4 linked regions of the Lepisosteus oculatus genome follow. The protein of the gene in region 1 interacts with the protein of each later gene in a pairwise test. Links are inferred from orthologs where the notes say so. Each region holds a gene or a part of one and is shown in the gene's direction. Other genes may lie near its edges.

Evidence for each region.
Region 2: the proteins of cdc5l (region 1) and sptbn1 interact in binary tests that used the Homo sapiens proteins (3 or more experiments, as listed by UniProt). The link is inferred for Lepisosteus oculatus from reciprocal best matches to the Homo sapiens genes CDC5L and SPTBN1.
Region 3: the proteins of cdc5l (region 1) and sh3bp5a interact in a two-hybrid assay, tested with the Homo sapiens proteins (2 studies listed by BioGRID and IntAct). The link is inferred for Lepisosteus oculatus from reciprocal best matches to the Homo sapiens genes CDC5L and SH3BP5.
Region 4: the proteins of cdc5l (region 1) and sfr1 interact in a two-hybrid assay, tested with the Homo sapiens proteins (2 studies listed by BioGRID and IntAct). The link is inferred for Lepisosteus oculatus from reciprocal best matches to the Homo sapiens genes CDC5L and SFR1.

Annotation. Positions count from the first base shown.
Region 1 is NC_090697.1:56,000,852-56,008,518, forward strand, and holds the start of cdc5l (cell division cycle 5-like protein), read left to right. Parts: upstream 1-4,650; 5' UTR 4,651-4,785; coding exon 4,786-4,830; intron 4,831-5,536; coding exon 5,537-5,640; intron 5,641-7,667. Other genes in the region: zinc finger protein 260-like, read right to left, coding at 357-396.
Region 2 is NC_090712.1:3,063,292-3,070,460, forward strand, and holds the start of sptbn1 (spectrin beta chain, non-erythrocytic 1), read left to right. Parts: upstream 1-4,164; 5' UTR 4,165-4,317; intron 4,318-4,895; exon of another isoform or gene 4,896-4,954; intron 4,955-7,169. Other genes in the region: uncharacterized protein C2orf73, read left to right, coding at 8-114, 2,219-2,731. UniProt on the Homo sapiens protein: Fodrin, which seems to be involved in secretion, interacts with calmodulin in a calcium-dependent manner and is thus candidate for the calcium-dependent movement of the cytoskeleton at the membrane.
Region 3 is NC_090705.1:41,678,583-41,685,577, forward strand, and holds the start of sh3bp5a (SH3 domain-binding protein 5), read left to right. Parts: upstream 1-3,975; 5' UTR 3,976-4,108; intron 4,109-4,383; exon of another isoform or gene 4,384-4,535; intron 4,536-4,545; exon of another isoform or gene 4,546-4,949; intron 4,950-5,136; exon of another isoform or gene 5,137-5,168; 5' UTR 5,169-5,274; coding exon 5,275-5,388; intron 5,389-6,995. Other genes in the region: tRNA N(3)-methylcytidine methyltransferase METTL6, read left to right, coding at 227-368, 657-796. UniProt on the Homo sapiens protein: Functions as a guanine nucleotide exchange factor (GEF) with specificity for RAB11A and RAB25. Inhibits the auto- and transphosphorylation activity of BTK. Plays a negative regulatory role in BTK-related cytoplasmic signaling in B-cells.
Region 4 is NC_090699.1:36,349,632-36,357,639, reverse strand, and holds sfr1 (swi5-dependent recombination DNA repair protein 1 homolog), read left to right. Parts: upstream 1-4,995; 5' UTR 4,996-5,227; intron 5,228-5,626; 5' UTR 5,627-5,646; coding exon 5,647-5,739; intron 5,740-5,746; exon of another isoform or gene 5,747-5,816; coding exon of another isoform or gene 5,817-5,825; intron 5,826-6,376; coding exon 6,377-6,796; intron 6,797-7,478; coding exon 7,479-7,670; 3' UTR 7,671-7,689; downstream 7,690-8,008. UniProt on the Homo sapiens protein: Component of the SWI5-SFR1 complex, a complex required for double-strand break repair via homologous recombination. Acts as a transcriptional modulator for ESR1.

The DNA of each region.
Region 1 (7,667 bases):
TCAGTCATTTAGGACAACATTGGATCATTCAGAGATCCTCGCTGAACTTCTGGAGTGAGTTTGCTGCACTGAAAGTAAAGGGGCCGAATAATTTTGCACGCCCCACTTTTCATTTTTTTATTAGTTAAAAAAGTTTCAAAAATCCAATAGATTTCGTTCCACTTCACAATTGTGTCCCACTTGTTGGTGATTCTTCACATAAAATAAAAAAATTATATCTTTATGTTTGAAGCCTGAAATGTGGCAAAAGGTTGAAAAGTTCAAGGGGGCCGAATACTTTCGCAAGGCACTGTAAGTTTCATGTGATCAAGCACTGCCCACTGCTCAATAAAAGGTCTTTACTTCTACAGACTTACCAGTGAAGAGCTGGACATTGCCTTTCTGTTCACTGTCCATCTTCACTCCAAACTTTCATGAAATGTATATCTGGAATGGCATTCATACTTATCCAGCCACTGTCTTACATTCCTAAAAAAAGACAAAACACTCCCATCAGGTGTATTGTTTAAACTTAAAACTTAGCTGTAAACATACTAAACAGCTACGCACAACTAAAAATTAATATTCTTGTAAATGTATCTAATGCAAATTAGTAGTTAAATGGTAAAATAGCTGTCTGACAATGTTTTAATGTGGTTGTATAATTTATTCACGAAACACTGGTGCTGTGAACTTGCATTGTTTAGATTGTGAATTGTACCTGTATGCTTTCTTTTGCAGTTTGTAGGCACTTAAAAGTGAATGAGTAGCTGAGGCTTTGGCAATATTTTTCAAACCATACATACTCTGTATAAACACGTTTCCTGCAGTAACACAACTGATACCAATAAATGTTGAGCTTTTATTTTTTATTTTTTTTATTTTGAGCTCTACCCTAAATTAACTGTATAAATTGATTATCAATGAAACTACACAATCTATAATTATGATTTCTTCCGTAGTCCCTCGCTTACTCTACATACAGTATCAAGTTCACGTTTATTTGTCATACCAGCCATATACAAGTATACAGTGGAACGAAATATCGAGTATACGATGTAGATTAAATAACAGCAGCAACAAAGCATGGTAAGACACATACCACTGAGATGCTTTTGTGCATAAAAACGGTGCATGACATCACCCTGCGCAAACAAATACAATATATAGCATGCTTCACAGTTGTGCTATTCCATCTTACTTTTGTTTCTTTTAGATACGAAGGAAATCCAGAGGAACAACAAATCTCTGTTCACCGGGGTAACGCATAACTCTCCACTCCTGCACCAGAAAAGACGGGTTCATTTCGCTTTCACTGCAGAGTAGTCTACAAAATCATATACATACTGTAGCGATAAGATAAAAACAAACTAACGTATTTAATATTTCAACGCCTTTAACTGGATCTACTCATTTGAATACAACTATGGAGTAAACATTAAATCACAAAATGAACAAGAGAAACTTATTTTTTCTTCAAAACCTTTTTTAACACGATTCGTTGCACAGAAAAAAAATACATTTGAGTCAGAAACACCGACTTAACTACCTACCTTTTAAATTCAGGCTACTAAGTCTTACAACCCTACAGTACTTCACGTGGGCATGCTAAATTATAAAACGAATGCTGCATATTTATTAAATTATTTTTTTTACCACAAGCCTTAACTGCTCAGAATTCTTCCAAGTTGTTGCGAGGGGAAGATATCAAATATGAATCGATACAACTGTGAGTAAATTGAAGTAAAGCTAACTACACTCACACTTCCTCACATCCCTCAGAGTTCACGTCTGCGCAGAATCGGCGCGATACCTGTCGCGGCTGCTAACAGAGCGGAAGAGCTGCTTAGCCAACCATGGTTGGCGTTTCACTCCCCGTGCTACTGCCACCTAGTCTGGGAATGTAAATGTCCTTCGATTCATTTTTCCAGTGGGTTACATACTAGATAGGCAAAGTCATTCTAAAGTTAAGCAAATATTAATGTGTGGAAAAAAGGTGGAACACTAAAATACTATGTTACGGATACGGATATACGGATGTTTCAGTAATGTACTCATGCAAAGTATTGCCACTATAATTCACCTGAACCTTATCCATACTACATTGAGATAGTCACAGTACTAGAAGTTATTGAGAAAAAAAGCTCTTTCTCATAGAAATGGTCTGCAGGCCACAGAGGGTGGAAACAAGGGACCCAAGAACAGGTTGAGAACATGCAAACTCCACACAGAACACACCCTAGCCTAGAATTAAAGACAGGATACCTAGAGCAGTGAAGCACCAGCAGTAACCATCACACTGCCATTATAAGGACAATTACCTCACTATATATACTTCATATAGGTCTTTCCCTTTCCCACTGTCTATACAGTGTCTTGTAAAAGAATTAACCCTCAGTAAAATTCCCACTTTTTCTGAGCTTGCAATCATGACACTTTCAAATTGGAGTTTATATTTATAATCTGCTCCAAACTGAGAGATCTAAAAAAATGCTGATGATATGTAGATTCTGAAGACAGTCAGTAGATTCTCAATTGCTTAAGTATTCATCCTCTTTTCAACTGCAACTCTAAAGTTGCTGAAGCTTTTTCATGTGAAGATTTTTCAGGTGAAAATAAATATATTTGATAGGTCTCAAAAATGGTGTAATATTCTCTGTCTATGCATAATCAAAGAGGTTTAACATGACTTTGGAGTAAATATCTTTGTTTCTGCAAGTCCCCTTAGGTGGATATTGAATTTAATGTCATGTGTCTCGTAGTGATATAAGCAATTGAGAAAAAAGACCAAAGAGATAAAATGATGGAGAGTCACAGACTAGAAGAAGGTTACTTATCGCTTTTAGTTCAGTGAATTCCAACATTAAGAAGTATAGTGTGCATCATACCACCCAGATACTACTTAGATCATACTGCAAATTACTGTAAGTTCATTTATAAAAAGTCACATACCTATACTTTTTTAATTAATCAAAATTTCATGTTAGAAGGTTTTGATCAATATTTCTGCAAGACACGATAATCTTGCACATAATAGTTAAAACATGTACTGTAACTATTTTATATGTTTTATATGACAGGAATTCTACTGTAAGTTCATTTATAAAAAGTCACATACCTATACTTTTTTAATTAATCAAATTTCATATTAGAAGGTTTTGATCAATATTTCTGCAAGACACGATAATCTTGCAACATAATAGTTAAAACATGTACTGTAACTATTTTATATGTTTTATACTCCACGGCCGAAACGTTGTGTTCTCTTTCTTCTTTTTTTCAGCATGGAATAAACCTATTACTTGTTCCTTTGCAGCCTACGCATGCTGACGCAGCTACCCACCGGAATTATTTTATGTGTATTTTATATTATAGCACTTATTATATGTCTTATATCTGATTATCAGATGCCCTGGATCTGACTGCCTGTTTGTGATGGATGAACCATTGAACTTTGTGTTGTAATTAGATTTGTTAAAAACATGCACATGGTCTCACAGATAATTGTAAATAACATTCCAAAGCCCAAACTGAATGGAAATTGGGCAGACATACCATAATGGAATATGTTATTTTATAATAAAACTTGATTTCTTACTGTTAGGTGACAACAGCAGTTAGCTTTATTTCAGATATCACCTTGCACTTGCTGGGGCATTGATCTGGCACTGAGGTATGGCAGAAAATATTTCATCCTTAAGGCTTTGAGAAAGCATTGTATCTCCAAGGGGCATTCATTATACTGTACTCTAGTACTGTATATAGTTTTTCCCTTTCTGTTTCTCTTTTTCATTTAGATAAATCTTGTAGAAGGATTATTTGACATTTTATTCTAAACAGTAACCTCATCTGGAAGAGGACTTGTTTCCTTTTTCTCCAGCTTTTTATTCTCTCCGGTATTTTGGAAAACTCTGTTACTTGTGGTAAAGGATTCAAGTGCACATGAAATATGTCAGTTTATAAAATCAATCCACTGAATTTCTAATCACTTTGTCTAATTCAGGGGGCGGTGGAGACAGAGACAATGCCGGTATGCAATGGGCGCAAGGTGGGAGTACACCCTGGATGTGATGCATCCCAGAAGTTTTCCCAGAAGTCAATTAACCTACCACTGTGTCTTTAGACTGTGAGAGGAAACTGGAGCACCCAGCAGAAACTTGCACAAACACTGGAATCACATATAAACGTCACGCAGATGGCACCCCATGTCTGGAACTGGACCCACGCTCCCCTCTTATAAAAAGGTAAAAATATTAATTTATACACGGGAAATAATTTTCTCACATATTCTAATATATTATAATATGCGTCTTGTACCACATATCTCCAAAAATAACGTTAAGGTATACATTTTTATATTTCTCCTCTACATGAGATGTCAGCAAAATTATATCATTTCGAATCATCTGAATTAATTTCAGCACTTTTATGAGATGTGTATGCTAGCAGTTACGCTAAGAGGTTACGTTCTTGGGATACTTTTTCATCTCCCAAATTATCATAACTGAAGCTACATTAAAACAGAATTAAAAGAGAATGCATACTACTTAGCGCATTTACTGTTAATTTTACCGGGTGCTCTACACTGCAACTTTAGAAGGCTGTTTTAATACATCCAGTCCAGAAGGGGAGCTGTAGCTATTGTCTTTTCTTGAGATTACCATGGTGAGGCGCATTATCTTGAGGAGCCATATTGAAACTGTGCAGCACGATCGTTCTGTGGATAGTATATCTTTGAATCTTTTATTTTTGTTTTATTTTATTTTTCTTTCCAGGAGCTTGAAATATTAACATTTAACTTTAAACATGCCGCGTATTATGATCAAAGGTGGTGTGTGGCGAAATACCGAGGTAATGTAACGGCCTTATTTTATAGCTTGGCATGGCAAATGAAAACATTGAAGTACAGATTGTAGTTATGTGTAATTTTTATTCTTCTATCGGGATAACATAAATTAGAATGATTTTCCTGTTTGCCTGTGATTTGATCATGTTTCATGAGTTGCATCTAGCTACTGCCAATACTTACCTTTTGCTCGCAAAATTCATGGCCTAAGTTCAGTGATGTGCAACTATGTCAGCTTTACCTATTTTGTGCTTTTCGTTGAATTGTGGCATGTTATGTAATTCCAAAACGTTTGATTTATTTCTTTATATCTTAAATTAAGTGTGTTGTAAGGGTATCCAATAAACTGCAATTGTGTTGAGAAAACATAGTAAAAATACTATGATGATGTTGGTTCTAGCGGAGACCTAGCCACGTTATAGTACTGTACGATAACAGCAACGTAAGTTAACTAAAACATGCTGATGAAATGTTGTTTGATCTACTGCTGACCACGAGTTTTCTGTTAGCTACTTTAATCATTTCCGATTTGTTAAAACATTTAATTTGTTTAACCATTTGGAGAAAAAAAACAGCTAATATTAACAGTTCTTTTTTGTTTTTGTACATCAGGTATAACATTTGCCAGTAGTGTCAAGCTTAAATTTGTCTTACGTATATTATCTCGTAAAGAAATGAGCCTAAAAATGCATCCTGTTCCTTTAATTTTAGGATGAAATCCTTAAAGCAGCGGTTATGAAATATGGCAAAAACCAATGGTCTCGGATTGCCTCACTGTTGCACAGAAAGTCTGCAAAACAATGCAAAGCCCGATGGTGAGTACAGGCTTTCATGAGCTGGAGTAGCACTGTAGGGTTAAATCTTTGATTCTAACACCAACGTATTCTTGTTTGATTCACTCAGGGTTTTTTAATATCGAATGCTTTGCTGTAAGAGTACAGTAGGTTGTAATAGCTTTTTCCCACTTGCGATGGTAGGTGTCGTCTGTAAGAATTCCAAAAAAACACTTCTAAAAGGTCTTAAAGGAACAAGTTAAAGGTTTATTCCATGCTGAAAAGAAAGAAAGGAAACACAATGTTTTTGGCTTCTGTAGCCTTCTGCGGGTGTGAGGTCTTATAGGCACATTATTTTAAAAAAAGCTATTTTTATGTAATTTCAGCTAAATGCTTGTTCTACTTGTGCACCCTTTAGTGTTGTGAAGGTCAGTTTCGGTGGCCTGCAGACATCTGCATCTGTGGAGGAGCACTGCCAAATTGGAGGCAGGGTGGTGTAGCAGTTAGCATTTAGCTTAGCTAACCTAGCACTGCAGTTAGCACTTAACACAGCTGAGGCTTAGCCTTAAGGTTCTGGGTTGGATTTTGTATTAGGGCACATTATGTGAGCATGTTTTGAATGCTACCTGTGTTCACATGGTTTTACTCTAGGAACTCTGGCTTCCATGCCCATTGCAGTGAAAAACTAATGATTGGCAATGCTGAGCTAATCATACCAGTTAGTAGCACGATGACCAGGAACTTGGAGTACCTCTAGTGCTTTTCCTTCTCTAGTATAGCAATACTAACGTTCTGATTAAAAAACGAACAGCAGCAAGCCATTTGACAACGCCCTTTAGCATGTCATAGAATGTGTCACTAGCCCTGACACCACTTCGCTGACACCAGGTGTCCTGATCATCTTCTCATCTGCTGGAATTGGAACAGTCTTGAGACCACTCTGCCTCACATTTTAATCAATTTGGTTGTCCTCCTGCGGAAACTTTTAAATATGTTTTCAAACGTTCGCATGTAATCATTTAAATGTTTTTAGAAAATATGTTATCTAAAATAGAACAGTATAGTGGCCCAGAGGTTAGCATTGCTGCCTTGCAGTTCTGGGGGCCCTGGGGTCTATTCCAGACCTGGAGTGATATCTACATGGGCTTTTTATGTTAACTCCCTGTTCTTGTGGGTTGCCTCCGGTTGCTCCAGTTTGCTCCCACAATCTAAAAACATACTAGTAGGTGAACTTAGGAATATTAGTCCTGGTGTACGTGCATGGGTACATGTCTATTTTTTTGTCTGTCCGGCCTGTGTTGGACTGGCGTGCCATCCAAAATTTACCCTACCTTTTCACCCGTTCCTTGTTGGGATAGGCTCTGGCTCCCCTGTAACCCTGAATTGGAAGCAACACTTAGAAAATGGCTGTTATTTAAGATAAAGCTTCATAAATGTGTAAGCATGCAAAACTATAATACGTAAAAGAGCATCCCTCATGCTTCTGTTAACATCTGTCATCAGTTATCACATCCAGTAGTTTGTGTAACAACACTCATGCATTCTCTGTGCTGCACTAATGTTATATTTGGCAGTTTTCGTTACCAGATTGGCTTTAATGGTCAAAAGCACAGTGTTAAGGGTGCTCAACCAGTAAAGGGGTTTGCATAGGTGCAGATTGAGTTCTAAAACCTAGGTATCTTTGGATCGAGATGTCATTAACCATCTGAGACCAGGATTTCCCAAGTGATGGAGCACAGTTGACTCACAGCTGGTAAGCGTAAGGTTGGGATTAGCTGCCCAGAGCTCTTGGAAGTTCTTTGGTAGCCCCTGTGGTGTTCCAGGGACATGCAGACTTGTGTGGCTGTCTCTAACAGATCATGCAGTCAGCTCTGATCCTAAGGTAGGGAAGAAACTGCCTGCTACTCCTTATTCTCCCTTGTGTGCAGTTGCTATGCCAAGACCTGAGAAATGCACAATTGGCATTTCCATGTTGGGTGGGTATACAGCAAAATTAATTGAAAGAGAGCAAAACGCCCTTATAACTTAATTTTCATGCACTGTTTTTCTTTTATTGAATGCTGGAGTCT
Region 2 (7,169 bases), on another chromosome or scaffold:
TCTGTAGTTCCCACGGTGAGTCCTATTGCACATACCAAGGTTTTGCAGGAGCAGATGTCGTTTATTCATCAGTATGATTCCAGGAAGTTACAAAACCAACCTTATCAGGGAAAGGTAAGGAATTTGGCATTGTATATTTAGAAAAGCCTGGATAAGGAATTCTGTTCATAAAATGTCAATACCTTAACCAGAACCACAAGCATGACTGTAATTTTCGTTTTTTTCTTCTTTAAACCTAAATTGTTTCCAACAAGCAGTGGGTTAGTAGCTGTAGTTGGCACATCTGTCATATACAATATATGATTTAATCTAGACTTTCTTTACTATATTAATGCTACTTACTGTATATGACCTTAAGTGCATTAGAATTTGGACTTGTGAGTCACACCTCCGTGAATTTTGAAGTGTCTGATACAGACATTGCATACCTATGCTAATGGTTATTATTCTAAAATAATAATCCTTTCCTTTTTGAATCTTAACAATACGCTATTGTAGTAGTAGCACTCACACTTAAAAAGGAGTCTTCAAGGCTTGAAATGAGAGGACTGTTTTAATTGTGTCGAAGCTCGGTTCATTTCAACTGGAGAAAAAACAATTATAGTCCATTCATTTTAATTGCCAGTGTGTTGGTAGAAGCAGGGTTGCCTTGACGACGTTTGAAAACTTGAGTTTCCACATGCGTTCACATTCTTCTTTTACTCTCCATAGGAAAAGGCTGCACGTTGTTTCTTGGCCTGTGATCCTTAGCCTCGATACTTTTAGATCATTTCAGCCTCTTCTCGACTCTCTAGCTCCTGTACCTGTGATCAAACCATAGCAGATGTTGTAGGTCTCCTCACATCATCACAAAACCTCTGGATTAGGAATAGATTATCTAAATTAAGACTGAATCTGACCAATTTAACTCTTCTTCACCAATGATTTAAGGAGATTTGGGGAAACCTGCTCTATGGTTAAACTCCTTGAGCCTACTTGGCTTCTTTTACAGTAGTTCAGGTGGGGAGCTGTGTCAGCATGCATAGTCTGCAAAGGAACAAGTAATAGGTTTATTCCCTGCTGAAAAGAGAAGAAAGAAAACACAACGTTTTCGGCCTTCCCAAAGAAGGCTCCACAGCCAAAACGTTGTCTTTTCTTTCTTCTCTTTTCAGAATGGAATAAACCTATTACTTGTTCTTTTAAATGTATCTGTTTCCATTGCATACTGACATCACACTGTCAATTATTGCAAACCATCATTGAGAACTGGACCAAATCAAATGCTCAGCTCACCTGCCAGTCACAAGGTACAGACCCATTGCTTGAAAGAGGATTTTCCTCAGTGAACATGAAAGAAGCCTCATGCAAAGAAAATTGATTTTCCAAGTAGTGGATGTGTACTTGGAGTAGTACAGAGGCATGCCTTTTCCTTGGGCAATTGATTCATGACAATGGTTTTCTTTTTTAATTTTGCTTTCTGGTTTTTATATTTGCTCATCTGGCAGTGGTTTCATTTGTCAAAGAATGGTTCTAAAAAAAGTATACTACATGTAAATTATTATTTTATTGCAGGTGAAAGAGTAAACCTGGTTTCTATTATAATGAAACTTCTCTGGGAGATGACCTTTACCTTCATGTTTGCGATATTCATACCCCATTTCCGATGAGCTAAAGAGGTATCTCAGATGTTGCAGCATCATGTTGTGATCTTGACTCATGGTATTTTAGATTTCCTTAAGACAACATCCAGCCGTTTCTGATTCATATAGAAAAATCGATTATAATTCAGTTTTCAGAGCTCGAGTGGTTCGGTTTTAAAAAACAAAAACGAATAAAAAGTCTGTATCCATAGAAACCTTATGTGCGGGGGATGAAATGGAATGGGACTCCAGCACAAATGCAATGGAAGGCAGATGCATTCGTGTGATAAATGTTGAAGGGCCTTAAAGTGCAGGAAAGTCCCTCCTCCCCTCTCTTTTTGCGTTTGGTTTACTGCCTCTGTTCAGGTTTTCCTCCCATACATCCATTCCATGAATAGCGTGGCGTGACAGAATAGCCATTATTCGCTGCTGCCCCCACAACTACCCACCCTCTCTCAGGCTTACCGCCAGTGGAGTGGGAGAGGGACGCAAGTGGAAACCTGCCAGCCCTTGAACTCAGAAATGAACTCAGGCACAGCTGCGCGGCTCAGGCCCGCTCACTCTTCCCTGGTTAACTTCAAGCTTGTTTCCCTTTCCAGCGCCACGGAGCCTTTGTGTGGACAGAGATAAAGCCGGCGAGCAAGCCGAGGGCTCCCGGCGGAGCAGACGCATTCCTGACTGCTGAGAGGTCGCGCTGTGTACCGGCGCAGCAGAAGGCCCAGGGAGGAAGCCGGATGACCTCACCAGAGCTGGTCTCGCAGCATCCTCGGCAGATGTCGGACGCTGGAGCTGGCTTCTCTAAAGGGGGCCTGGAAGAGGCCACCCGGGCCTATCCCAGAATTCCAGCCCGAGAGAAAACGAGGCAAGGCGTTCCGCAGACAGCTGGACTGGACAGCGTTCCTTCCAAAAAGGAGGCGGTTCCCTCTCAGGGAACTCCAGCTGCTCCTCGAGAGAAATTCCAGGACCGGACCGACAGCACATATACCAACTTTAGTGCTGTACCCAAAGCTGCTGCAGTAATCAAGCAGCCTTTAGCTGATGCACAAGTGGGCCTGCTTGATCCAAGCGCTGACAATAACCCCAGACACCAGCTGACACCAGTAGGGAGTTAGCTTGAACAGTGGAAGCATTTTGATGGCAGCAGCTGCACTCCCCTTTGATCTGACATATTAGATTGTATCGATCTGGCTGCTGTATTAGGCTGCATTATTCTGTCCTTGATTGTTTTCCTAACATCTGTGTGCTTATTAAAATGTTAGTGCATGTACATTCAGCATCTTAAGAGAAGGGTTAAAGTTGTTCCTGTAAACAGTTGTGTAATGTACTGTAATGCAGAAAATCTTGTTTTAAATCAGGAAAGCATCTATCTTATGCATTAGGATGGAAAACCTCACATTTTGTTATGTGCATGGCTTATTCCAGAAAGCATGCATAGTAGCAGTTGGAAACAGTTTGTTGATTTTGGATTTTTTTTTGCTTCTTTCTCAGTATGGTTTTTCTGCTATTTGGTTTGCAGTAATTAGATTTGCTTTACAGCAGATGGTCTGTGGCTCTGCTCTGGCCCTGGAAGTACTCCTGCACTTGTATGCTGCTGTTGACAATGTTTTGAATCGGCTTCAGCACTGTCAACCAGAGTAGCTGGAACAATAACCATGCGGGCTGGGCAGGGCAGCAGCTAAGTTAAGTACAGAGGAAGTACACATGAGATGACTTCAAGGGGGCTTCTTGTAACCATGGAAACCGAGCCATGCTGAGATAACCAACTGTGTGGCTGCATGGATTAAAACTGTTATTTTTAATTTTCCAAAGAAATCTTGTGAAGTGGAAAACAGATGATTTTAGGTACAACAAGAATTGAACAGTATGCAAGATAAGGAAAGACATCATGTTGGGCAAGATATCAGCTTATAAAACAAGACTGGTGATTGCAGAAGGAGAAGTAGCAAGTGAGTCAAGGTTATGAGCATACTTCATGCATCATAACTTCAGAGTCGTGTGTGGCAATACAAGATTATATTCTAGCTGTAAAATCATCTGTCCTCTCATCTGGCCACCTGGTTTTTTTTTTATAACAATCTGATATTGCACAGTCATTTTCTGAATCCGAATAAAAGCCATACCTTCACCGTGTGGCGTGTGTGTAACATGATCAAATATGCCATTGACCTGCGCCAGGTAGCGACCTGAAGAGACTGAATGTAACCTCGTCGACTGTTCTGCTGCTCAGGAAGATGTTTACCAGCTTGAGGAGAGCTGGAGCCAGGAACCAGGCGAATCACTTCTCTTAGCGATGTTATTATTAACTATCCTGAAAAATTGCCACGTTTATATAGATATGTGTAGCAGCAGTCAAGGCCCGTTGCCTGGAAACGACATTGACTTGTAATCAGACACAATCTGCTTCTGCACCTCCATCCCATACTCTGTTTCCCTGCTCCTCACTGCTCATGTAACTAACTGGCTTGCGCGAAAGCGGGGACTGATTTTTTTTTCTTGGTTCGAGCGTGAGCGCTAGTGTGCTGTTATCTCTCCGCCCCTCTGTGAATCAGTGCAGCAGTTGGCTTTTGCTGGTGTAGCAGAGGAGGCAGTGCGGATTCCTGTAGTCACTCCCTGCGATTCACATCCAGCCTCCCTGCTTGCGTTTGCGCGTATCGTGGGCTTTTCTAGGTGCTGGACATTATCGTGTGTTCCTTGGTGGGTAAGTATCGCTCGCCGCTTTTATGGTAAATAAAAAAGGTTTGCGCATTGGTCGGCTCTCCGCTGGTGGGGTTGGAAACAATGCAGACCCACACCTTCGTTAAGAACAGACCGACTGCCGTAAACATTGCTACTGCTGAGTTAAAAATGGCTTTACTGTATGATGCTGTTAGTTACGCAGGAACAAACGGGAGACTTCGAAGGGAGCGCAGCTTTCCGTTTATCGATTGAAAAATCGCACAAATGTGCGAACTTGCACGGATTCTTTGCCGCAGAAAATAGGATACAGCGCCAGGTCCGAGCTTGCAGTTTCGAATTTCGTGTTTTTTCCCCTCTTTCCCCTTTGGGTTTTCCAGAAAATGAAGTCGCTTTATTTCTCAAGCGCGAGAGACGCGTAACGGCGGTGCACCGGCGTGCTCATTTTCGTCCGATTTTGCGGTGTTTGCGGTGTTATTTTGACGTTTTTGTAGGCACGCAGGATCAGCCGACACCACGGCAACATGGACGTTTTCCTACCAGGTTGGGATTATAACGGTACAGTATAGTAAGGATGGAAACAGGCGTGGTCGTGCGGATCTGATTGCTGAGCTAGGAGGCACCGTGTGTGTCGCGGTTAAGCAGCTTGCTTCGGTAATTCAGTAGGTAACAGCTATTTTGTGACGATATTTGGAAATGCGTGGGTTCCCCACGATTCCTCGCCGTATTTTGAGGTGAAATAATTCGACTTCGAGTGTTTGTTGAGTCAGTTGTCGTAATACGATTAGTTTTCAGAAGAACTGCAGCCCCTTTTCGAGCTCTGCCAGGTTGTGTTGGTGCCTCGCACACGCACAGGTGTGTTTTCCAGTGTGCAGGATGCTGGCGCGGCGTTCGCGTTCTGCGGTGTTTTTTTCCTGCGAGGTACAGCTCGCAGTGCGCTTTAAAATATTAATGTAGCAACGCGCGGCGTTAGATCGGGAGGGTTGCCTTCGAAGGTGCATTGAAACTATCGGATCAGGTCTGAGTGAGCGAGGCTGAAGAGCACCCTGCGACCTAAATTAGTCACCTTCGTAGGTAAGCACTTTCCACAGGTTGCTCGTTCTCCCCGGGGACTCTGAAACACCCCGCCCATCTGGGTCAACATTTCTTGCAGAGCGCTGTGCTGGTATAACGTATTCTCGGATAAAAACCCAGTTCCTTCTGGGTTTGAATTCGGAGGCGTTGCTGCTGCTGCGTGATGCCGTATTTATGGTTTTTTTTTTCTTCCCCGGCAGTGCAGGAGGAGGTGTGCTGAGTAAAACGTTGCAATACTGCAGCTCCAATGCGGTCAGATGGAGTCCAGCCTGCGGCTCCTGAGCCTTTATCTGACGCTACGGGCAGCACTGGGGTGGGGTTATACGCGAGCTACGTTAGGGTGCAGATGCGTGGGATTTTTGGTGGGGAAAAAAGGCAAGAACTCGTCAGCGATCAACGAAATATATAACCGCGCACATAAATTTCTGTTGAAAAACACGGGCTTTGGCCTCATTGAGATTGAAAAGAGCAGTAACACTGACCTGCTCTCGGCCGGTTCGAAGGGCAGCTGTGAACCGGGGTATATCGATGGGAGTGCCGTGTCAGCGTGGAAGCGTTTGCTTTTTATACTGCTTCATAAAATGTATATCTCACCCAAACTCACTAGCGCAGTTGAGGCCTCGGGAATGGCGTGTTGTGCTGGATAGGAAGGGGAAACGTTAAAAGACTGCATGAATGTAGCTGCACCTGTTTCTTTGTGACATGACTGTGCCAGCAGTTTGCCGGTCCCCGAGTGGAACGTGGAACTGACCTTCAGGATTTCGCGACTCTGTACCCGCCGCGGTCAGCACGCTGCACATAGTCGTTGTTAGGAGAAAAACAAATCAATTCTTCAAAATGGAGATGCAGGAGCAGCAGGGCTCAACGTCGGCCGGAGAGGAAAGGCTTGTTTTAAAGTGTCTCGCAGGTGGTGTGCTTGTCCGACGTGCGAGGTCTGAGATGAGTGAATGGGAGTCCTCTGTGTCAGGTTCTTCAACTAGGCACTAGAGAGGTTTGCAAAGCGTGTTGTCAGCCGAAGCTACTCTGAGCTTTTTCCTTGGGCACCTAGACACACGACTAGCTGGAGATGCACGAGTGTTGAACCCCTCAAAGGGGTATTTCCGAAACCTTGCAAGGGTCAGTTCATTTCCACTTGGGTGACTTGCAGTTTGAATGTCAACTCTGATGTTCTGGGACACCCACCCAGCCGTCCACCTACAGCAGAAGGGAGTTTTGTTTCTGCCTGCATGTCGCCTTTATAATAGTTGTGTCCAAGGTCTATTGCATTATACTGTACATATTAATGCTGTTTATAAAAGGATTGACACACATTGAAACAAATATGTACAGTTTGTGCACCAGCTGTAAGACTGTGGGAAGCTGACTAGGCTCAATTTTTGGACAGGCTTTAAAAAGGAATTTACAGAATAAAAATCATTTGATCCATGTTGACAAAGTAACAAGAATGGAGGATAATTATGTCTAAAGTTTTTGATGGATGTAAACATGTTTTACATACATTTATTGTGGAAGCACGAAAGACTATAGTAAGTCTTGGACCTTGTTTTTCAAAGAGAAAGACCTATTGTCATTCGATTCAGCGTGAACACTTGGTATTTTTACACTTTTCTCCCTGCCTGTAAACATACTGTATTGACCAGCCTTGTTCATCAACAGTATGTGTTGATATATGTAGGTCAGGAGTGAACCATGAAAAACCTTTTCAGCTGAGACTCTCTCATTTAAAATAGGGGGCAGATTCAGCTGCTGTTAGGTTTAACACTGATGTTGTACATCTGGGATAATTAGAAGTAAAACCTCAGG
Region 3 (6,995 bases), on another chromosome or scaffold:
CAAGCTAGAATCTTTCTCCATTAAATCTTCTCCATATACAGTGCCTTGCAAAAGTATTCACCCCCCTTGGACTTTTTTACGTTTTATTGTGTTACAGCATGGAACCATGATGTATTTAACTAAGACTTTTTGCCACTCATCAACACAAAGTCCTCTATAATGTCAAAGTTCCACGCTGTAAGACAATATGATATTTTGTTTTGTTTTTCTTCATCGGGGTGGGCAGGTCTTGAAACCAGGGGGCACTGTCTTGTTCAGGGACTACGGACTGCACGATCACGCCATGTTGAGGTTTAAATCCGGGAGCAAGCTTGGAGAGAACTTCTATGTGAGGCAAGATGGTACCAGATCGTTCTTCTTTTCTAAAGGTGAGTAGCAGACATTCTCAAGCCATCGATGCTGTTCTGTCACCCTTTCAACTTCAGGTTCTCTAAAAAAAATTAAAACACATTTTAGTAGCCAAGCCTAAGCAGGGGCAAGATAGGATTTATACAAAAAAGACATAAACACAAAACAAATTTGCTGTACTGTATAGCTATAACTACTACATACATAGTTATATAAAAATAGAAAGAATGAAAGGCTTTCTCTATATGTGATGTTTTATAGTGTGTAAAACCTGCCTTTTATTTTGTTCCTTGTACTTTTCTGTCTAGAGTTCCTGGAGGATCTGTTTACAGCGGTGGGTTACGAGACCCTGGTGAACGAGTACGTCCTCAGAGAAACTGTCAACAAGAGAGAGGGGCTTTGTGTCCCAAGAGTTTTTCTTCAAGGCAAATTCAAGAAGCCACTCTGACAAACAGCCTGATGGTGATGCTGCTACTCGGAAAGAAAAGACTTTGTATCTGAAAAAACCCAGGAGGGATTTTATTTGTGAATTTCTTGGCAGAATTCTAACCGATCTCATTCTTCTGACCAGCATAGGATTTCATGTCCATTTTAAATACAACACTTTACCTGCTTGTGGAAGGGAGCCTTAAGGTTTTCACAGCTCAAGTGATTTTATCTCGGAAAGAAGAATTCTCTATTTAAATTATCTTTTGATGTGTATGCAAAGACCTGTAATGAAACATGTGTATCGTGTTTCCACTGTACTGTTTTTGTTAAATAAAAAAAAAAGCAAGGATAAGAGGATTAAACATCTCACGGATCTTCCAGCACACTGTTGAGCCAGTCTGGAAGATTACAGGGCTAAGGTGTTTCCACAGATGCTGTAAAAGAATGCAGTGTGGAGTAATGGTTAGAACTGTGTTCTCCTGACGGCTGGGACAGGGGTTCAGATCCCTAGAGTCCAGATTGCTCCAGCAAACTCTGCTCTGTCGATATCGAATTTTGATGTTCAATGATGTTTTTAGCATTTTTTAGGTTATTTGATGTGCTACAAGTATCTGCAGAAAACAAGGCAAGGTGTGGGTCATCTTTGTCCAGGCAGAAAGGTACTTTATATATTCTCATCCTTGAACTCTAAATCTCAGCACACACCTTTTTCCTTCCTGGTGATATCCACAAGGAATTCTGTGTGCCCGAGCTGTGGTGTTTGTGATGTGCGTTTTCCTTCCCAGTAACTCGTGGTCTGGCTGTCATGCCTCCAGAGCCCGGGATAGGGCTTTTTTTGGGACGCGTCTAGTCCTGTCGTCCTGTCTGGCACCACTGGTGCCTCTTGCTCGCAGTGAAATGTCACATCCTCGATTATGTCCTTCCTGTTCAGACAGGTTTCGGATGCAAGGCCAGTTCGATATTCCTTTAGAGGATGTGCATTACAGGACGGGAGTATGAAAGCTGAGAGAAGGAGCAGGGCATATTACTCCCAGGCGGCAGGAGACGCTGAAACATGTGTTTTTAGTTGCCTGGTTGACTGTATGAGTCCAGTTTAGAAAATCATTTCCATGGTCTAAAGTTGAAATGAAGCCCCACACAACCTGTCAGTTTCAGTCTTCATTTTGAATGGCTGTCTTGGACTCTGAGTGGGAAGCCCAGTGGGTAAGTGCCAGTACTCATGCAGACAGTGCTGCTGTACCCCTGAGAGAGGCACTGTACCCCAGTGGCTCCAGCCCGCCCAGCTGTGTAAATGGGGGACTGGCACTGCTGGGAGTAATCCCTGATTTTCTCTCCCGTCCTGGGGGATGTCACTTGCTCTTGCTCTACTCTGCTTAACCCTCCAGAAACCAGGATGAGCTCCGCCCTGATGCGCCCCTGCAGCTCAAATATGGAAATTGCCTACCTACCGTTGGCACAAGAATCAACACACTCTGTTACATACACAAGCAAATTATTGGTGAACTTTTTGTAGGGATAGGAAGTGATTGGGAATGGACCGTTTTCGGATGTGTACAGTAATTGATCCAGCTCACAGATTCAACCAGAAAATCGAACGTGAGCTTGTGGTGGAGACTGAAGTACGTTTATGCCGGAAGTACAGTAGATCGTGTAGGAAAGTAGGGAAGGAAGAGGTGGGGAGTTGGAATGCTTTACATCCTGTTGTATCGGGATTTGTTGGAGAACAAGTCCAGTATGACATCAAATCAAATTGCTTTGCTGCCACTTTAGGGACCTTCAGCAGAGGTACACAAACTTTCAGTCTGGCCCTTGTCCTGCCCTCAGATTTGTCGTCTCAGGTAAAGAGGTTGTAGCTGCGGGCTGTGTGAGCTGAGCTGAAAGTCTGGGGTCTAGTCGGGGAGAAAAGTGTGGTCCAGCCAAGTGTGCAGCAGGACCACTCAGTGCAAGCAGGGCTTGAAGTTCGTGGTGAACAAGGGAGCTGCTGACTAAAGCAGGTCTCTCTGCGCCAGAAGCTCACGGCACAGCTGCAGGGAGAAGGCGTTGCCTCCATGATCATGACACATTAATCTGAGGTCATGGGTTTTCTGCGTAGACAGTGGCGGATTCCAGCACTATTCACAGAAATCTGTACCCAGCTTTTGTAACTGATCTAAGAGCTCACCAAATAAAAAAACATTTTGCCTGTCCTTGGATGAAGAACACATTACGCCCATTATTGTTTCCTTGGTTACCAAATAATCCCAACAACAAAAAGAGCCTTATTAAGAGGAAGAGATGTTTGGTATAAATTGACAGCACAGTGGCCCTGGAGGAAAATTGAAAAATTGTATTTTGTACTGTATTACAGCAGTGCATCATCTGGGATTTGATTTAATTCCTGGATGTAATTCCTAATTACAAACCAGGGGCTCTAACCAGTACTCCCACAATTTTAATAAAACCACCTATTCGGATCAGACTTTTTCAGGTTTCCAAAGTTCTCTGTTTTTGCCTGATAAAAGCTCTCTACGGCTATCCACAGCTGCTTAAACTTCATACTTTTTCATCACAATCCTACCCCTATCTCTAGGATCTGTGGGTCAAATGCTCCCAGAGGGGTCTTTAATGATGTGGCCTGGTGTGCCTCCTATTTCAGAACCGCTCTTGACAACACAGAACGGTAGAGATACAGAATTACGTGTGAATATTGTGCCATATAAGAGTGGTGTTAGTGATAGGAGAGTGTGTAACCGTGGGGTTAGTAGATAGGAGAGTGTGTAACAGTGGGGTTAGTAGATAAGAGAGAGCAATATGGCAGTTGTAACAGCAAATTGGCACCAGAAATGAGTAGAGTGCTGAAACAACTATTTTGGCTTTAATGTGGACATTAATTTGACTGTCATCTTCATAGAAATGCAATTCTGACAACGTAATTTTAGTATTGCACCAAGGAGAAACTGTAATGTACAGGTTAATACTGAATAGCAAATAATACCGAATAAGTACTGAAATAGCAGAGCGCCTGGTGTTGAACCCTGTGAAGCGCCAGACCTAACAGCCTCAGAAGTAAACCCAAGAGAAACAAGAAGATCACCGTGTAACAAGAGGCAGGGTATGACCGGAACCTCTTCAGGACAGCACCAGAGATTGTAAACAAACTCTCCCATCCAGTATGTTGAACGTCATGACTTAACAGTATTGAATTCAGAGTTCAGGGAGTCATTTATATGATCAGTTCAGATGGGGAGCTGCGTCAGCGTGCGTAGTCTGCCAAGGAACAAGTAACAGGTTTATTCCATGCTGAAAAGGGAAGAGAGAAAACACAACGTTTCGGCTGAGAAGCCTTCTTCAGGTAATTTATATCATTATGTTTGCTACACACCAGAGATACGAGACCAAAATAAAACAAACTGAATAGAGCAATAACAGCAATCAGGAGGAGGCTGCTGTTTTATACACTCTTCTTTTCTATACTCAGCTTTTCATTTTTTCCTATACCGGTGTACAGTATAAGACCAACAGCATTACAGAGCAATTGCGCAACGCCAGTTCACAATAAAGCCCTTCCGTCATTGCTTAATTTAGGTTTCAGATGTGCTCCGTCTACCGACCGCTAGGGAGAGACAGACCACTCTTTTCCTCTGGAGAAAACTTGGGGAACGTCGGCTTCAACTCTCTCCTATCCGTGGGGTTTAGTAACCCCCCTGTCAGTGAGATTACAGGACATGACTGCTGTAATTACTGCAGTGTGTACTATAACTCAAGAGAGCGGAAGACAGGTACTGCAGGATTAGTTGGGACCTCTGCGTGCTTAATATAGCAGTTTATTGCCATGTGATTTGCGCTGAGATGTAAACGGAGAGGAGTGCGCGATCCGATTATTAACAGCATAGCAAAACAGGGAGGACATCCATTAATTACAATAGGCGGCCGGCCCGGTCGAAAGGGTTAATCGTTTTTTTCCGATTTCATCGCCATCGCTTTTGTGTGCTTGGAGGGAGGGGGGGGCCGGCAGAAGGATCCGGAGACGAGAGGGGAAGCCTTCTGGATCAAGTCGGAGCGCAGCGGGCGTCGCCACACCGTGCGGGGCCGCAGATGACACGGAGGACGGCGGCTTGCTTCCTGCGTCGTGCGCCGTTCCCTTCGATTCGCGGAGCCAAATAAGAGCCCGGCAGGAAAATTACAATATTTCTGTACGTCCATCTCGGGGATTGCCTAGCAAAATCTGGAAAGGGGGGCGGGGATAGGCGGAGCGCTCAGGTTCTTATTTCAAGCCAGTTTGTCCGGAGAAAGGGGCACCTCCTGTGTTTCAGCTTCCTTGAGGGTTTTGAATGTTGCAGACCTCAGCTAATCCTTAACTCCTTGCGTTTGTGTTTAAAGATATCTTTTCCCCATATGCCTTATTGCTGAAGTGGTGTGGAGGGAACCAGAGTGGTCGCGGCGGCGCTTGGAGAACGACCTCAGCCTCCCCAGTTTCCGACCTGGGGAAAGGGAAAAGACATTACTGCATTCAGCAAAATGGACAGCGTGGAAAAGGGACCCAAATCAGACGAAGAGATTGAGTCGCCGGATGAAGAAGAAGAAGAGGAGGAAGCAGCAGCAGAAGAAGAAGAAGTCGACCCTAGAATTCAGGTACGCGGATGCAATATATATATATATTCCCGAGTTTGGTGGTGTGTTTTTTTTTTTTGCGTCGTTGTGTTGCGCTGACCTGCTCTGAAGACGTGGACGCACTGTATGGATTGGCGGTGGCGTGTGTATCCTGTTGCCCGTGTGGGCTCAGGTTTGTGCCTTGCGGGGCTGTAATGTGGCTGACAACTGACTGGTGGCGGGTCTGTGTTGCCCCGTCAAGAGTCTTTCAGCCTCCCTGTGCCCGAACAGCATCTCCCCGGCGCGGAGCTTCGCTGTCTCCGGGCGCAGTCAGTGCGCCGTGGCCGCGGAGCAGAGTCGGTCTTATCGGCCAAATGTTGTCATGGACTAGGATGTATCGCCACGTTTGAGTCGATCTATTCCTAATAAACGAGAATAAAACAAAGTCTTTTTTTTATTATAACAGTAGGCCCTTAACACTAACCCTACGATCTTGATGAGATAAAGGGAATCATTTTTAATTCCATGTCATTAGCCCTTCTACAGAAGCTCCGTTTTTGCACCGTAATGGTCCTCAATAGTACTACATTTGATTTAGCGGAATTAATCTTGCAGCCGCGCTTAATTACTGTACTGATGCTATCAGTGTCTGTCAACTCAAGCCGTTTTTCTGCTCTTTGTTAACGGACAGACGCCAACAAAAGTATGCAAGCAGACTGGATTACGCGTACATGCTAGAGAGGTCGTTGTTTTTATGCTTGCTAGGGTTGTGAGCCTTTTTATTGCTTTTGTCATCCAGTTCATGTAATTGATAAGAACAGGAAAGAATGCTGCTTGCAGTGTGTTGTCAATTCATACTGACCAGTGTCAGTCAACGCTTTGTGCTTTGAATTAATCATTACATTGTTGGAGTAACTGGGCATTTCTTTAACTGCTCTTTCTTTTCTAACCAATTCTGCTATACCGTCCTTCTCTTTTCTGTAATATGTGTACCTTTCAGAGTTCTCACATTTGTTTTACATCTGCCCACAGAAGCATGAAATATTCTTTCATTTGGAGCTGTCGGTGGGATGAGCTCTCTTTTTAAGAGGAGTGCTGGCTGTACTCTTATGATATGGTGTCTTTGGGGCGTTGTAATTGCTTAATTACCATCTCCAGCAATGGAGCTGAAGAAAGAACACAGTGGAGTTAGCGCTGCATTAAGACAACTAAACTGTGAATCTGTCACTCTTGTGTCCGAACGCGTTTTATTCAAATGTTTCTAGTGCGGGTTTTAGCTCCGTGAATATTTTATAGATCTGCTGGTCTTTGGTGCAAGGAAAACGGCGAAAAAAAAAGACATCTTTTTAAAGTGAGGATTTTCATGTTATTGAATTCATAGTTTTTAGTGACAGCTGCTCCGTGCTCAAGTTTGTGTTTTGTAGCTGACATACAGGTCTTAATGAACATTACTAATGAAATTAAACAGCGACTGCTTTTCCTTCCTTGCCTGTAAGTCTTGCAGTGGCGGACGGGTAGTAACAGCTGGTAGGAAATGGCGTTTTGTTTTTTTTTTAAGCCAGTTTTACACTGTGTCTCTGGGAAAATGTTTAATCAAAGCTTTCTTTGCCAGATTTAACAAGCTCCGTATGCGTCTTGTTTCCTTTCCA
Region 4 (8,008 bases), on another chromosome or scaffold:
TTCACTTAAAGACACTGAATAGCCAATAGGATGGCAGACCAAACGTACATTAACTTACGTCATATGGCCACCTGATTCTCACAATATCTTGTCCTGTTGCAGTTCAGGGTAACAGGACGTTACCCACTGACAATGGACCTGAGCTCCTATTAGACCAGAAGGCATGATACTGGGCTATAACACTCTTAATCATTCCATACCACACACAGTCTGAGGCTAAGCCTTGACTTTAAAATGAACAGTCTGTTGATCTGTGAGCTTTGAAGTCTGCAAAACCTTCTATCATGTCTATGCAAATTGCTTAAATTCACACTTCACTTAGAAAATGAGCATGTCTGTACTATAAACTGTATTGTGCTTGCAGTTTCTGCCATAAACTTTAATCTAGTTGCACGATATACAATTATAACACAAATGTTAAGAGGTAAGAAAAATAGATTTGCAACAATTTTCACATTATTTTTTTCTTTTATAAACAAGAACTAACTGCAAAATAAGGAATCACATTTATATCCATGTTATCCATGTTCTAAGTCTTCACAGCATTGGATTGTTTTAATGAAACCTAGACTGCATGATCAGGGCAGAAAGCAGACTGGTGTCCTTGAATGTTGTGAACAGCCCACATCGTTTCCCCAAAGCAGTTTGTGTGGGAGACAATAAAACCTTGCAGCATCTTCATCATTTCATTCCTGGAATGGTTCTTACATCCTGGAGTGCCTGTATCTTCTGGTTTAGTTCCTCCCAATGCTAAGAGGCACTAGCTTCTGGCGAGTGGATGCCTTGCCTTTAATAACACCTCCATCACTTCAAGTGGTGTCCAACACCCCATCATCTGCATATATCAACTTGTCAAAATCGCGTGCCAACATTACACAAGTCCACAACTGACAAGTCATGATCAAACCATCCTGTACAGATGGAGAACTTAATATTTAATTAGGTGAATAATCTAATTAGATTTTTATACTTACAGGAAGAGAGGCAATTTACACTTAAAAGGTTTAAAAAACAAATTGGTAGCTGAAGAAATCATTGCTTTAATTTTTTTAATAAAGATTTACACAGCAGTGCTTTCAGGGTTTGGTATTCATATCTGGCAAGCTGTGACTTCAAGTGTCTTCGGGTGAAATTATTATTTATGTCAACCTTGCTGTTCTTTTACTAGACAGGAGCTGAAATAAAACTTGTAAGAGCAGGTACTGAATACCAGGACTTGGAATTTACAGTTCAGTAAGAAGAAAGCTTTCACATTTCATCTGACAATTTTTTTTCAGCTGTTTGTCCTATTTTCACCTGATTCACAATTTCTAACCCGGTTTGTGTAATACTACTTTGCAAAGAAGCTTTGCTGTCAACAGTTCATGAATTCCATGTTACCTTCATCCTTTGCTCACCCTCTAATTTTTTAAAAGACCACATTTCGGAGACTATCTCAGTATTGTTAGGAGAGAAATACTGTTCACATTTCATTTATTTGATGTACAGTAATTAATGAACGTTATCTGTTGTGTTGCACAGTACCTGTTAAAATATAAATGTAAATGTAAACTTACTTGCAAATGTAAAAGCATAATATGCAAATATAAAAATAAATAAACTGAAGAATAGTATAACTTCTCAATTTTTTCTGCTCTAACACTAATGCTGTACAAGTACCATGTCCCCACCAAAGGAATGTAAATACTGTGCATAAAGTCGCTGCACTCAGTATACAGTACATACATCATACATGTGATCAGTACATATACAACGTTTTATGTACTTTTATGATTTGTTGTTCCATTCATTAGCAGATTTCACATTAGCTACATATGATATAAAACACTTGAAGGAAGTATGACTATGGTATAACCAGGCTGCTTCTGCAGATGGGTGAAATATGTCCATTCAGTTTCACTGAGCCTGACCAGGAATGAAAACAAAACAGTGAACTGGAACCTTGCATTCAAGTGCTTCACTTTCCATTCATCACACAAAGATGACTCATTGTTTTAGAGTGAACAGTAGGAGTCTACATGCATGAACACCTTTTTTTTTGTATTACAGTCATAAACTAGAAAACTCCAAGCAAGCATTTTTGAAGCCCTCAAACCAATCCCACAACACAGGGTACCTTTAAACGAAGAGCTTGAAAGACGAAGGCAACAAGGAGATAAAAGTCTTACAGTATCTTACTGGTACTAGCTGGATTTAAAATATAAAATGTAGCATATGGAGTAAAACTGAAGTCTGAGATGAAGTGGCTCAAAACCTTTTGAGTAGTAGTGATGGGCGTGATGGGTCATGTTTCTCAACTGACCATATCAACTTTTCAAAGGAAAACTGATAAAGCTTTACTTGTTTGTGAAAAGATTCTGTCAGAATCTGACAAGATTCAAGTCAGGAGGTGCTGCAGCACATAATACTTAATGGACATAACTGTCAGGCCATCAGTTGTGATGACACAGGTAATTTTTGTCAAATGTAACAGCTGATCTGTCTCTGTATACTTCACTAATATGAAGTGGCTAGTTCAATAGGCCACCAAACACTAGCAGGTGGGAATTCTAAATCCTCATACTACTTGATAGCCTCATAAACAGCCTATCTATGTTCACACTTAAAACATGCATTAATTGGTACTGTACGTGCAACACACCATAAAATACACAAAGCTACATTCAAGCTGGTTTTAAAAGGAAAATGAATAAAAACAATAAAATCAGACACCCGAGGTACTGTAGGTAAAATGAGTGTGTTCAAACTATGAAATTCAAGTCAAGGCAGGGCAAGGTTCCGATCCCCACCTTTCTCCTGCAGGGTATGAAAAAAACACTGACTGTACCACAGGAATACAGCACACTATCATTGTGAGACACACAGGGTGTAAATCTTTTGGCATGCAGCAAAAAGCAAAAAGTCACTCAAGGCAAAGAACAGGCAACAAGTCTCCCTCTCCCATCGATTCACAAAAGTTACGAGCACAAGAAACTGAGAAACTTGGGAGCTATAAAATTGATCTTATTCCTTAATTTTTTACTATTTTCTAGGTAATAATCATATACATACAGTATACAAAACATGTGTTTTAATAAGGCCCATATTATTTGAACATATATTTTACTTTAAGAAAAATTGCTAACGCTGGACCAGTTATGGTTGACACCGTGAAATAAATGTCCCTCTTTTGTAATTCTCATCAATTTTGAATTTTGAAGATAATGCTTCTGAGAGTTTTCCAGCTACAGAGCACTAATTAAGAAGTCCAATATTTTCCCTTTAAAGAAATACCTGTGGAATGCGTTTTAATTTTCAACATGTTCAGATTTTGCCTTTATTTTAGTTCTTGATGTAATAGGGCCCATAACTAAATAACCACTCTGTGCATTGAAATAGCATGGAATCAAAATTTTTAAAAATTTAAAAAGTGTAATAATAATAATAATAATAACTGCTTACACTTATATAGTGCTTTTCTGGACACACCATTCAAAAAGCTTTACAGGTAATGGGGACTCCCCTCCGCCACCACCAATGTGCAGCCCCACCTGGATGATGCGACGGCAGCCATAGTGATGCCAGAACGCTCACCACACATCAGCGATCAGTGGAGAGGAGAGCAGAGTAATGAAGCCAATTTATAAATAGGATTATTAGGAAGCCATGACTGGTAAGGGCCAAAGGCAAATTTGGTCAGGACACCAGTTAACACCCCTATTCTTTTCAAGAAACACCCTGGGATTTTTAATGACCACTGAGAGTCAGGACCTAGGTTTTACGTCTCATCCGAAGAAGTCCCCATCACTTACTGGGGCATTAGGACCCACATGGGCCACAGAGTGAGCGCACCCTTCTGGCCCCACTAATACCGCTTCCAGCAGCAACCTTAGTTTTTCCCAGGAGCTCTCCCATCCAGGTACTGACCAGGTTCACACCTGCTTAGCTTTAGGGGGCTGCCAGCTGTGAGTTGCAGAGTGATATGGCTGCTGTGTAGGAATCCCTTGAAATTGTTTTTTGTTTTAATTATATTTTTATCGAATTTCTATTTTTTAAAACGTTCAAGAATAAAAATGCATTCCAATACTTTTTTAACCAAAGACGCAATTGTGACGTAAAACTAAATGATTTTTACAGTACATAATTCAGTTTAAAGTGATCTATAATAATGCAGCATATAAAGATACCATAAAGTACTACTGTATTTCCCTTATAAAGATTATGTGGATGGTCTTGGTAGCAATGTTTGGGTAACAACCGTATTGCATTTTGTGAGGCACAATCATGAAACAATGAACCTCTTTTTTTGATAAAGGGCACTCAAATTGTGGACCAAAAATATTTCCGGTTGGATGCTGTCATAAATCAGGTCGCTTCACTGTATTGTCAGATATTGTAATTCTTGTATTTTCTCACTCAAGGGATGGCTTGTTATCTTAACCCTAACGAACCACAGGTGCATTGAGATTAATGTTATTTTAATGACAATTTTAATTTTAATTTTAATTTTAATATTCAAGATAAGGAGAAAAGCTTTATGGAGAGTAGGAAATGTTTGCTCTTTTACTAAATCTGTATAATTATTAAAATGTTAAATAATCGATAAATACATTGCATTTAAGCTTTGATAAAATTATGTTATTTTATTTTTCTTTTTTTAATGAGAATATTTGCCCGAAACAGTTTTCAATGAGAAGTGCGTTTACTGGCAGGATAAACCAACGTCTGTTCTACACATATTTGTCCTTTCAAATCTGTAAAATACATTTTACCAATTAATAAAGCCACCAGCTACTAAAACATTAGACGTTTATCAACATTCGAAACTGAAAACCATACAAATGTAATAAATAATTACAAATATTATAATTGTGGTGAAATGTTCGAAAGAAGAAAGTAAAATCAGTTTCTGTGTAGTCTAATCTGCGCCAAACTTTTCAAATTAAAACTACAATTACCACAGAGCAGTGGTATTTGGCGCATGCGTTCCCTCAACACCGGGAAGTAGCGGCTAATTTGAAGGAAGTTACCTTCGGATAAACAGTCAAGTGTTGGGCTTGTGTTTTGGATTATTAGTGTCACGGATAAAATGTGACATTTCTGATTATATATTCACTAAATCAATATATGAATAGTACTGTACGTATAGTTTGTGATAATATCGACTTTGTACTCCATTGATCGTGAAGAATATGCAGACAACTATCCTGTTTCCCAAGGAGAAGCACAGCTGCTGGTGTCTTAACGAGTAAGAACGCAAGTTAAAAAAGAAATATTAAAAACGTATAATAGCACTTATTTACATAAACCAGTTTATATTATATTTATATTACCTTGAATTACAATTAATAAGAAGGGCATTCGAGGGGAGATAGCAAGAGGTAAATTATATTAAGATGAGGTGCGTGTTTATAATCTTAGTGTAAAACATTTTGTATGTAAGGCGAGTACCATCTTACGTAATTAATGTCAGTACTTCAGGTAGAACAAGATAATTTCTAGGTTTATTCGCGAACTACCTGCAAGGTTTCCTGGAGATAGATCATGTCGTGATATTTTGTACAACAACTTGGGTTATTAAGTGAGGCTTTGATTGTCAACTGTGGTATTGTAAGCAATCTTATTATTTGACATTTGCTTTTTTTAGGTAATCTTGTACAGCTCAGCATGGAGACACCAAACACAAGGAAAACAAAGCCTGTGTTCTGCACGCCAGACAGCACCTTGAATTCCACACCCCATGGCCTCAGTGTCAAACAGGTGCCAGACCTAGACAGACGTGTGCGGTTTTAAACTCTTCCTATGAGACTCTATGCTCCTTACACTGTCACACTGCCATGGCTGAGGTATTGGTAGAGCTGTTTCCACCAACTTTATTGTCCCAGAAACAGAATTGTGGCTACATGTCAATGTAGGTTTAAAGGCAAACCACTATTTACTTTAATTGGTGTCACTCCTTTGTGTAACATCCATTTCAATTATTCTAAAAGCTTACATAGATCAATACTGAGACAGAAAGGTCTCACATCTTACTGGTTATTATAGAGTGAGTCTGTATGTTGTGCCATTGTGATCCATTTAAATCCATTTTACCTCTGGATTTTCAGAGGTAGCTGTTTTAAATAGTCTGTTTAAATTACATTTGAACCAGCCCTCCTCAATCCTTTAATATATTGGTCAGTTTGTAGGTCTTCTTGTCAGAACGCACTGCTGAAAGACTCTTGAACAACTGGCTAAGTATTTATACAGTAGGTCCCACACTGTTGTTTATTTTGACACGTCTTGTAAATAATATTTATTCACTGCGTTCTTTTCCGAAACGATGTCTGCCTTTAATGTTTTTCAACAGCGCTGACTAACCGAATGCAACCTGAGGTTGTTTCTGTTCTGGTTTTAGCCGATGAGTGCTTCACTGAAAGAAAGACTGAAAAGAACAAGGCGCTCTTTTCATTCCCCATTTACGGTGGCAAAACGGCTTAAAATAGATCCACCCGAGGCAGAGGACGACTCGAAGGTGCAGGAAGTGTCTCCAAAGTCCGAACGTGACCTGGACAGTGCCGGCGGGAACACACTCAGCATTAATAAAGGGAGGCCTTGGGAGAGCCCGGAGGTGACCGATACTTCCAGACAGTGGGATGTGTGCAGAACCGGCACAGAGAGTGGAAACGAAGCAGCACAGAGCAGTTCCTCCAGAGAAAGAGCTGATCCTCCCGCACAGATAGATCTGCTTCAGCTGAGAGACAGGCTAAAGAAAGAAGTCGGAGAAAAGGAGGAAATGCTGCGGAGACTGAAGATGGTTAGAATGTACAGAACAAAGGTATCTCAAGCAATATGTCAGATATCCTCCGATGTACTGTGCTGTAAATTGAACAGTGAGCGGATGTACTTTCTCATTGTGTGAAGTCATGTAATTACATGACTGAAAACATGACATTAAAATATGCTATAAGACTATAACGTTTTGGCTGTGGAGCCTTCTTCAGGTGAGGGCACCCAAAGAAGGCGCCACAGCCGAAACATTGTGTTTCTTGTCTTTTCAGCATGGAATAAACCTTTACTTGTTCCTTTGCAGCTTACGCACGCTGACTCAGCTAACTACTATAACACTAGAGTATTATTGCATTTTAAATGAACTGTAATTGAGAATTGGAACTAAAAAAGAAAACTTCAGGACATTTTGTGATATTTATCTGTGCCGGTTCTGTAGTAATAACTATGCAAATTGCAAATAAAACTTGGAAAATATTTCCATGGTACTGGATTATGCAAATTGAGTACCATGGAAATATTGTCCGTTTTATTTCTTGCAGTGTGAATTAGCTGAAAATGTCTTTTTTTATGTTTAGAATGAAAAATCAATTTCAAGTGAGAGGAATTCAAGTTATGGTGACATGATAAATCTCTGTAGAAGCTGAGGAAAAACCTCAACAGATCTGGTGCATTTTCTACACTTCAGAAAATGGAAGTATTTACAGGCCATATTGTATTTTTCTTTCCAGAATGACCTGGATAAGCTACAGTTTCTAATCAACAAGTGGAGAGGCAGCAGCCAGGCAGTACTATATGAGCTAAAGTCAGCCTTCTGCACTGATGGGAGACAGCTTAGTCTCACACAGCTTATAGATCACTATGGGCTGGATGACCGCATTCTGCACTACAACAGGACAGAGGAAGAGTTCTCAGACCAATAAACTTTACAAAATGGAACAATTTTTTTCTCCTGAAATGTTCACTTAACAGTTTTCTTGTACTTTACATGAACGTTAACTCTCTTTAAAGAGTCTGGTTTCTCAATTCTGTGAAAAAAACAGATGGTTTTGAGATTGAGCCTATATTTTTCAATGTTTTGTTGACTGATTAGTTCCACTAAATCTTTAAAGACAGGACACTATATTAACGTTTATATGCTGGTCAAGTCTATTTCAGTTTGTTATAATGTAGGCAGTGTTGTTGAAATTAAATCTTGTCTTCCTTAAGTCAATATTTATTTATTTTTTTGAGAAGTTAATAAATACAGTACTTCATTGTG